Linked DNA regions of Coturnix japonica. The protein of the gene in region 1 interacts with the protein of each later gene in a pairwise test. Links are inferred from orthologs where the notes say so. Each region holds a gene or a part of one and is shown on either strand. Other genes may lie near its edges.

Region 1 (3,655 bases):
ACAAAAAAAACAGCCTCCTTCAGCTTCCCATCCAAAGTCCACAACCTTAAACCTTTTTCCTTTTCTCTTAGCCTGACAGGCAGACTCTAATGTGGAGTGCCACCTGGCCCAAAGAAGTGCGCCAGCTCGCTGAGGACTTCCTGCAGGACTACGTTCAGATCAACGTAGGGAACTTGGAGCTGAGCGCCAACCACAATATCCTGCAGATAGTGGATGTGTGCATGGAGAGTGAGAAAGACCATAAGTATGTTGGTTTTTCCTAGTGTTTATGGGTTGTTTAGGCTATATTATAAAATCAGCATTGTCGAATATGAATTCTGAATAGTGGATTTACTCTGAGGTATTGCTTAACCTTTGAATGTTACCAGGCAGAAATAAGTCCTGTATTTATCTAATCTATTGCATATGTTCTAACCGTATTTATCTAATATATTGCATATGTTCTAACCATAGTACTGTACAGAAGACCTAAATTTTGTGTAAGTGGTGCTGGCTTTATTGATCTGTATATGTGCTCAGTGCTCTTGTGTCTGTTTTAGACTGATACAGCTGATGGAAGAAATCATGGCAGAGAAGGAAAATAAGACCATCATCTTTGTGGAGACAAAGAGGCGATGTGATGATCTCACTCGAAGGATGCGCAGAGATGGGTGATTAACTCCCCTCCCCACCACCCTTTGCTTATAGTGAGAAACAGAAACCGTAATAAAAAGCAGCAAGGTTTAAACATTTGCCATGCTGTTGTTGGGAACAACCTGTCCATTTAGTTTTTGGCTGAATTCGGTCTTAATTTCCTGGAAGATTCCAGTCCATCAAAGCATTAATGGAAGAGAGAATACTTGTCAACTGTGCAGCTTTCAATATATCAGGGTACTGATGTAATGAACTGGCAGGAACAGCATCAATATAGCAAATGCGATTTGGCTTACATGGCTGCTGTATAGTTAGTGGGTTTAATATGCAAGAAACATTCTAGGCGCGTTTTAATGTGCAAGTGTAGGTTCTGGGTAGGTAAAGGCCAAAGGAAGGAGATGAGGAATAAAAATATTTCTCAGATGTTTTATTTTCTGCCTTCTTTTTGAAATGCCAGTAAAGCTTCCTGTTGCCTTTAATATATGTACTTTCTGTCTATACTAATGTACATCTCTGTTTGGCAGTTGGCCAGCTATGTGTATCCATGGAGACAAGAGTCAGCCAGAAAGAGATTGGGTGCTTAATGGTGAGTCCATCACTGAGGTGGGGGGATAATTTGGGCTGCTGTGTGTAACTTATTGAGACATGATGTTCTTAGGCTTTCTTTTGTCTTTGTACCCAGTAAATACATTTCAGAGGATGTTCCTTGACTCTACTGTTAATTTCAGTGTTTGTATTTGACAAAAATGCAGTGGGAAAATTAGCTTAACCTGGAATGCTAGATTTTGGAGAAGTAGTTGATGTGTTATTTCCTGACTCATTGGGTGTTCTGAAATTGACATATGTATTACCGAGATTCTAGAAAGTGAGCATTTAATGTAAGTCAAGTTCAGATAACTTTATCTTGTTTTGAAAAGTCTTCATAGTGTGCTTTGTTTTACAGAGTTTCGCTCTGGAAAGGCTCCTATCCTCATTGCTACCGACGTTGCATCTCGTGGGCTAGGTTTGTACACATAGACCACTCTTGCCTACTGCTGCATATTTTTCTTCTATGGCCTGAAATATGTTTTCTTGTTTTTTTTTAAAAAAAAAAAAAAAATCAAAGCGTGATTTTCCCCCACATGTGAAATACGTTTTTTAACATTAATCTTTTTTTTTTCTTTCATATTCAAAGTCTCTTCCTGCTCCTAATGAACAGGCTTTGGTCTGCAGCAAGGCCTAGGCATGACTAATCGATCGCCAAGAGGGAGAAGAGACGTCCAATTATGCAACCCAACCCTTCCACCACACTCACTTCTACCCCAAATCCAGCTTTTGTTGCTGGATTATAGGGATGGATTGCTCTGTTCAGAGCGTGCCAGATAAAGCCCAAGTAGGAAGCTGTGGGAGAGCATTTCAACAGCAAATAGCTAATATTCTCCCTGCATAGTGCACCACAGATTCAAACATACAAACCCTGACATTTACACATCTTTACCCTGCAGATGTGTTTACATCTGAGAAAGCACTGCTTTATAGATTTTTTTGATTTTTACATGTAATTTCCCTCCTCTGTGTTCCTTCTAGGCAGGATCACTGAGCTTACATACAGCCATTAACAGTGTTGCCCGATCTTGTAACTGAATCAAAATTGCACCACTTAATTCTGGTACTATGAAAATAATCTGTCTGGATGCATCAGTTGCACCCCCTTCTTAAATGAGCATTCTTGTACTGTGAAACGCTGTGCTAGGCACAGGCCTTATGCATCTGCCTGCTCTAAAAGGGGAGGATGCCTTCTGAAGTGCTGAGTTGAATAACATGCACTGAATATTCCAGCCTCCCTGAGTGGCAGAAGATAACTACTCAGGGTCAGTGTCTTGTTAAAAAAAATAATGGTGACTTTTAGACAAAGTTATTGCTCATTGTTGCATATAACATCAGAAAAGTCTCAGGTTTATTGGAAGTCACCATTATCTGAACTCTATTTTTCATATGCTGAAAGGGTGGCTGTGCTGTGCATCTTATGGTCACTTTAACACAGGCAGACCATTACTAGATGTGGCAGTCTTTATTCACACAACCTGCACCCCTCCTTCCCCTCCCCACTCAAAAAACATCCAACACTTCCTCAGAGAGGTGATTATATGGACTTCAGTCTCTGCCCTCTAGGGTCATGTCTGGACCTGTGCAGTTAGAACTTGGGCCTGTTGGGAGAAGGGACAGAGGCCTGAAACTAGTTTGTATGAAAGAGAGCTGCTTTCTCAGCAGCATTTTTTAAACAGGCTTGCTATGTGCTGGTAGCTTCTTTGTGCATCTTGCCTAGACATTTAAAACAGCTTCACCCCCTGCCCTCAAAAACACTCACTGAAAACTACTCAATTGGATAACACCTCAGAAAACAGTCTCCCCAGTTCCCATCCTCCACTTCACCTGAGCTGTGGGGGAAAGGTACCAGAGTCTGTTTCTTGTTACTGAACAACATCTCTGCTTGTTTTGGGGCCCTGAGTTTGCTGCTTCTTAAAATAAGTCACTTAACTGGCAAACTTCTGGACGACTTCCTCCAAGATCCTGGAAAGTGAAGGCTTCTACCTAAATAACATAAAACAGGGGCGCGCGCCTTTTGGCTGAGTCACCAGGGCTTTCCCTCTTCTTAATGGAACATTGGTTTCAAAAAAGCTTCTGCCAGGTAAGTTCTGAGTCCCATAATGACTTCTTTGTGATAATTCCCTGGAGTGAGGTCCTCTCTCTGCACTGATCATTTTTAATTTAGTTTTTATTTTTTTTTGTTCAGTCTATTAAACTAAAAACAATGAATTTGTTTTGTTTTGTTTTCTTTAACAGAAACTTTGATATCAGCTACAGATCATTCTCAGTGCAGGGGTGGGGGCACATCTACATTGATGGTCAAACCAGCTCTCTGGACTAGCATGTTTGCTAGTTTGTCCCTTCTGATTAATACCATAATCGGAGACTGTCCATGCCATAGGGTACTCTGATGGCCTGATGAAGGGCACGTTTCCCAAGTAGCTGTCAAAAAATG
Region 2 (2,290 bases), on another chromosome or scaffold:
GGCCGCTCAGGAATCTGGTCTCTTATCTAAAGCAAAAGCAGGCTGCTGGGGTGATCAGCCTCCCTGTGGGGGGCAACAAAGACAAGGAGAACAGCGGGGTCCTGCACGCCTTTCCGCCCTGCGACTTCTCCCAGCAGTTCCTGGACTCCACGGCCAAGGCGTTGGCCAAATCAGAGGACGACTATCTGGTCATGATCATCGTCCGTGGGGCATCTTAAAAGCCCTTGTGTGCTCTGTACCCAACCCTGCCTACTCCTCCACACAGCCCCTCCAGCGTGTGCCAGGTGCTATGGGATACAGCCTTAGCCAGCCCAGTCATGATTTTAAATTAGATCTTTGTTTGTAGGTGACTTTCTGTGCCCATTCTTTTTATTTTCTGTTACCGCATTTTTCTATAAGGTTAGAAGCCAGAAAGGTTGGTTAGCCATTAGAGTGAGTAGGATGTGTTGAGAATCCCTCATCTGTGGGGATAGCAGGGAGGCTTGGCCTGCTTTGACTTTAATGACAAAATAAATAGATAAAAAAGAAAAGGAAACAAACAAACAAACAACCCCCACAACAAAAGACTGGGGAAGGGGGTGGGTGGGGATGGGGATGGGGAGGGGGGGGAAGGGAAGAACAAACTCCCATCTTCCTCATTTTGATTCGTGTGTCCTTTTTTCATTTCATGTATTTTTGTTTTTTAAAGCGAGTTGGACAAACTCATCCTTTAAAAGAGTTCTGAACCGAAAAGACCAGATTTAAAGCACTACTAAAGGTAGTTTGAATGGAAAAAACCACATCCCTGCTTGATGCAGACTGGTGTCAGCTGTTCTTTTGGGTCGTGGGAGTTCTGTGATGGCCTCAGTCAGGCCCACATCATCCCTTTCCTCAGGAGCCTGAAGTGTTTCCCTTTGAGTCCTATGGCTCGAGGTTGACGTCCTCCAGGTGACCAGCACCTGCCCTTGGGTACACTGCAGAAAATGAGTTCCTTTCTATTGGGTGTTTGATTCATCCAGCCCCACAGAATGCATGCACTGAAAGTATGCTTTTATTTTTGGGTTGGTTTATTTTTTGTTGTTAAAAAACCAGGTGTATTTCTCCTATTTCGGTTCTGTTGTATCCCATATAATGCACTTTGGGTTTGTAGCAGTGACAATGTTTGGTAAATAGCTGAGGACTTTGTTACAAACCATGAATGTCTCGTGCTTAACTCTGGTATGCAGGAAACAAGGAGGTGCTTTAAGAATCTATTGTGGTTGGTTTTGTTTTTACTGCCTTGATCCAAGAGTTGCAGGTACAGTGGGGTCTGCTTCCACGGTGCGAACTCTGAGCGAGCGTGCTTCTCTCCAGAGATGGTTTTAATTCTGTAATAATTTAATTACCTTAAAGTTCTCATTATCTTTTATACCTCTTTGTTAATAGCAAGGAACTGCTGTCTGCTAGGGACTTTTCAGGTACAGTACAGCGGGCATTACATGAGGTTTATCATTCAATAGGCATCCGGAGGAAGGTGTTATTAGCACCTCCGGGTTGCTGAGATGGGAGGAAACAGTTTGCCTTGGTTTTCCAAAGAACTTTGCTCATTTTCTCATTCATTTTCCCTTCGTTGGGCACTTTCCTCCAGCTGTCACACCTTGTTAATGCAGCATCTATAAGAGGGCGGGAAGGCATCCAAATCCCCATTGTTTTATTTAACAGCTGGAAGGATTTTGTCTCTGGCTTCTAAGCTGAAGGGTGACTCTGTATGAATATACAGGCCCTAAAATGTAATCTTGCACTTAAAACCAGAATGTAGCCTTGCACTTAGCCACATCTTCAGAGACAGGCAATGTAAATGCAGCACTGCTTCTCTCAGTTGTCTTCCATTGGGTTCTTTGGGTGATTGGTGCGGGTTGATCAACTTACACCACACAAAAAACCCCAATTCCAAGCGTGGGGTTGGGTTGCCAGTAAGATATATGAAGGATGAGATGCATTGAATGTATTGTATGAACACAGCAGCTGTCAATGTGACATTGTGTGCTCCAGATCCGCTCTCACAGAGGTGCGTTTCTGTAGGGCTATGGAACAGCTTTCAGAGCGTGTTGGATTTCCCCTTTGTGACCTGAAGGAGCAGTGCTGCATCCCAAGCATCGCTGGGAACTGAGAACTCAGATGTGGCAGCTTATCTTGGAAGCAAAGTTTGGTTTTAGAGACATTTTTTCCTTTCTAAAAGCCTCATTTAATGCTCTTAAGTGTTTGAGGGCGAAACCCGGGCTTCCCGGATTCGTGTCCTTCAATGTGAATGTAATAGATGGCAGAAATCAGC
Region 3 (4,189 bases), about 2.7 Mb from region 1:
TGTACCTTTATGAGATTGTCAGTCACTGCTGTAGGAGAAAAGCAGAGTTAAACAGAAGCAAATCTATTTACTTTTCAGGGAGCTTACCCACATTTTCTTGAAAGCAAATTCTAAGCAGTGCCATTGGAAGCAGGGCACAAAATGAATAACCTAAAAATACAGTTTCTATTCACCTTTTGATTGATTCTTGGTCCTGCTGGGCCTAGTGGAAGGATGTCTTCCATGCAAAACCAGGTGCCTGAGATGTCCTCATGTCCATAAGATGCTGAAGTTGCTGGAGCCCAGCAGGCCGGAGCCTTTCCTACAGCTTAAGGGGCAGAGAAGGCTGTGAGCCCACAGAAGCCTGGTCAGAACCCCAGGGAGCTGACCTCATAGTGGTGCATAGCACCTCCCAGCCCCACGAGGCAGTTCTGAGGTTAAAATAACCCAACGCCTTCCTTTCCACAACTCCATGAAGAAAAAATATCCGTGGGACTTGCTGATTTCACTGACAGTTGTTATTAGACTTTTCTAATAGTCAGTAGATGTTCATGAGAGAAAGCAGTTGTGGCCACCATGGTAACGCATTGCCCTGAGCCCAGTATTCATAGAATCACAAGGTTGGAAAGGACCTATAAGATCATCTAGTCCAACCGTCCTCCCTTTACCATACCTACAGAAAACCATGAAACCATATCTCCTAGCTCTCCCTGTTCAGATGCCTCTTGAACGCTGCCAGAGATGGCGACTCCACCACCTCCCTGGGCAGCCATTCCAGTGCCTGACCACTCTCTGAGAGAAAAAATTCCTTCTTATGTCCAGTCTAAACCTCATCTGATACAACTTGTGGCCATTCCCTCGGGTCCTGTCGCCACAGGGAGGGACCCAACCTGTGTGAGGAGCAGGCACGGCATGTGTTTGATGCACACGGTGGAGGTGCTCCCATCACACCACTCATGTATTCCCTCCCTGCTCAACGTGTGGGCACAGAATGAAGAATTAAATCTGTATAATACACATGCTCCAAAATAAGCAGAACTCCATTGCTAAGCAACCAATGGCCTCATTTGGCTGCTGAAGCTGTCAGCAAAATCATCTTTACCCTGCTTCTTTCTACCATAGGATTTAAATTAAATCCATTTATTTCTCTCAGAGTCCATTAAACAGTGAAAAAGTCTCACAACAATGCAGATTTTTCAAGGCTTTATTTCCCAATCCCCACAATCCGCCGCCATCCCGGCAGCCTCCGCGCGTACCAGAACGGCAACGGGATCATAGATCTCAAAGCTGCTCTGAGAGGCACTGGGCCGCACTCGTGCTTTACGACAATCGTGCTTTACGGCGCTCGTGCTTTACAGCGGCGCGCTACTCCGTCCCGGTTCAAGATGGCGGCGCGGCAGCGGCGGGCAGCGCGGTGGTGGTAGAGGCCGCGGCGGCGGTGGGAGGGAGCTGAGCCACCCCCGCCCCGCCTTGCCCCACCGGGCCGAGTGGTGAGAGGAAAGGGATGGGGCTGGGCTGGGGGAAGGGAAAGAAAGCGGGGGGTGGAAGGCGGTTGGCGCGGCCGCCTTCTTCCTTTCCCCCAGCATCCCTCGAGGGAGGAGGGGAGGCCTTCGTGTACTTCGATGGGAGACTTTCTGCCTCGCTTCCCAGTGCTCACAAAGCACTCGTTGGGGTGCTTGATTTTCTCCTCCTCCTACAGCGATTATCTTGTGTGGACCCTCCTTTTTACCCTAAAAGAATTTGGGATCGAGGTTTGAGAACGTTATTCTCTTTGAGAAAGGCAGTGCCTCTGATTGTATTTCTGCAGTTGGCTGTAAGTTAAAGAAATGCCCGAAGGCAGGAAAGAACCCTTCATTAGAATAGTCTTTCCTTACTGATCATTGTGATGTGGCTTGAAACAGATTGAGATGGCATAAGGGCAGTGGTGTGTGATGAGAAAAAGAATGTGTACAGAGTGGTTTTTGATGGATGGGGTAGTTGGTGGTTGGTAGGGAAGAAGTCAAGGGCATCCTAGAAGTCTGGGCAAAGAAGGATATTTACGGGAAACATTTGCAATAGAGATGTTTTATGTCATTAAGTGGAAAGCTAGAAAGGCTCTTCCATGCTTATGTTATGGAGGGATACGATAACAGTTAAAATAACGCATTTTATTTTTCTAAAAGCAAGAAGCTTTCAGGTTTAAGTCTTGAGGTGAAGAACAAGCTGATTTGTTTAAAGTATGCACTTCAACTGCTTACTTGCAACTGCTTTATAAGTGATACTTAGTAAAAATAAGATGGTTTTGATGTGAATGCCCAAACTTGTATTCTGAGATCCTCCAATCCTGTATTTGAGGTTTTCTTTTGTTCGATTGTTTGTCAACCTACTACTACAAAGAGGATGAACAAGCACACGAGTCCTGCTTATGTATAGAACCTGAAATTATGGTTATCTTTTCCAGGTCTTTTTCAGTTCTTTTATTTTGAAGCAGAAGAAAAAAAGTCAAAATGGGGCGGAGATCTACATCATCCACCAAGAGTGGGAAATTCATGAATCCCACAGACCAAGCTCGTAAGTACCCATAGAAGTTAAGCAAAAGGAAATGGGGAGTCCCAGGCAAGCAGATAAAAATCTTCCTCTGAGGGGAAGATCATCACTTCTGACTGAGAACTGACTTTCCCAAACCCAAAAAGTACTGTCTCCATTTTGGCTGGTGTAGAAACTTGCCAAGAAGCTACTGGTTTGCATACCATTGCTGCTTCACACTGTTTGTCCCTTAATTCTTACTCTAATTGTCACTGGCAATTTCTAACTATAGAAACAGTTAAGTTTCTATACTTAACTGTTGGCTGTCCTGCTTCTTGAGGTGTAGGTAATCTATCTGAGGCTAGAATTTGTGGAATGGTCACATTTTGCCAAGGCTCAGGTTACTGGAGGGAGTTGTCTGACCTTGTTTTCCTTTTTGTAATGTACTGCATTTTCAGTGCTACACAGAAACAGAAAGCCCAGGCTTCTGCTGTGAGCGTGCTTTGTTTCAGATGTGTATTCAAAACCTGCATATTTTTAAAGGGCATTGTTTCTTGTTGGCACTATATCTCAGCGGCAGTCTTTTACATTGCATGCATCACTGTGCCTTTTTTTGTCTATTGTTCTTTTCTGTATAAAAACATCGCTGTTTCTAGAGGCCTAAATACTTCTGTATTGCATTTTCTTTCTATATAACACCTATGAAACAGATTTCTATTTCATGCTGTATTTGTCTATCAACAGGAAGATAAGTTTTAAAGTTTCCTTTTGTTTAATGAAATATGAAAAATGAATGAGCTGTTAAAAAATAGCACTTGTTAAAATGGAGGAAAAGTTGTTTGTGAGTTTGATCCGCTCTTTCAAATTGTTTTTTTTTTTCTCTTCTTTTTTCTTCCCTCTCTCTAGGAAAGGAAGCTCGGAAAAGGGAACTAAAAAAGGTACATAAAGAGATCTGGAGCATTTACTTGGCATTTCCTGTGCTATGTGTTATATTTGTGATTATAAAAGACCATGAGTGGTGAATAGACTACTGTTTCAGTTGATCTTGTAAAATTTAGTTAGGGATATACTGTCCAAGCAGTTAAGAAAACACAGAAATCTGGATTTGAATCAAAACGACCTTTATGTATTTGTTGGTGTGATTCATTGTGTTGCTTTTGCCTTTTGGCTTATTTTACTGATTGTGTCTTCATTGGAATGTATGAGTTATAGAAGCATCTGTAAATAGTGAGATAGTGGAATTGCAGCTCCTAGAAGTTCAAAACATCTCTGCTGCTGATTTGTGCTGTGGTTAATATCTGCAAGGCATCTGGAGATGTCTTTTTTTCCCCCCTGTAGATTGGGAGTGTTGAAAAAGAATTATTTGATACAAAGATTTTTCTTTCTCCTGTGTCTCTTTTCTGATCTCCTTGATTTTTGATCCTCTTAGAACAAAAAGCAACGAATGATGGTACGAGCGGCTGTACTGAAGATGAAAGACCCAAAGCAGATCATCCGGGACATGGAAAAATTGGATGAGATGGGTGAGTAAGGGAGGTATTGGGTGTTGGAGATAGTAGTCAAACACTGAGTAATGATTATATTAGTGACTTTTGGTCTTAACATTGCAGACTTACTGGAAATACGAACTGCAAGTGGTTTGGTTTGAAGTTGTTTCGTTAATTTTAATTGTAAAGTAGAGTAACTTTTGAGTTTTTGGCTTGCT

What was found.
Region 2: the proteins of DDX17 (region 1) and RBM15 interact in binary tests that used the Homo sapiens proteins (3 or more experiments, as listed by UniProt). The link is inferred for Coturnix japonica from reciprocal best matches to the Homo sapiens genes DDX17 and RBM15.
Region 3: the proteins of DDX17 (region 1) and WBP11 interact in a two-hybrid assay, tested with the Homo sapiens proteins (3 studies listed by BioGRID and IntAct). The link is inferred for Coturnix japonica from reciprocal best matches to the Homo sapiens genes DDX17 and WBP11.

Annotation. Positions count from the first base shown.
Region 1 is NC_029516.1:46,434,307-46,437,961, forward strand, and holds part of DDX17 (probable ATP-dependent RNA helicase DDX17), read left to right. Parts: intron 1-71; coding exon 72-244; intron 245-539; coding exon 540-650; intron 651-1,157; coding exon 1,158-1,219; intron 1,220-1,576; coding exon 1,577-1,636; intron 1,637-3,655. UniProt on the Homo sapiens protein: As an RNA helicase, unwinds RNA and alters RNA structures through ATP binding and hydrolysis.
Region 2 is NC_029541.1:1,769,692-1,771,981, forward strand, and holds part of RBM15 (RNA-binding protein 15), read left to right. Parts: coding exon 1-218; 3' UTR 219-2,290. UniProt on the Homo sapiens protein: RNA-binding protein that acts as a key regulator of N6-methyladenosine (m6A) methylation of RNAs, thereby regulating different processes, such as hematopoietic cell homeostasis, alternative splicing of mRNAs and X chromosome inactivation mediated by Xist RNA.
Region 3 is NC_029516.1:43,743,142-43,747,330, forward strand, and holds the start of WBP11 (WW domain-binding protein 11), read left to right. Parts: upstream 1-1,348; 5' UTR 1,349-1,469; intron 1,470-2,419; 5' UTR 2,420-2,465; coding exon 2,466-2,529; intron 2,530-3,390; coding exon 3,391-3,422; intron 3,423-3,913; coding exon 3,914-4,007; intron 4,008-4,189. UniProt on the Homo sapiens protein: Activates pre-mRNA splicing. May inhibit PP1 phosphatase activity.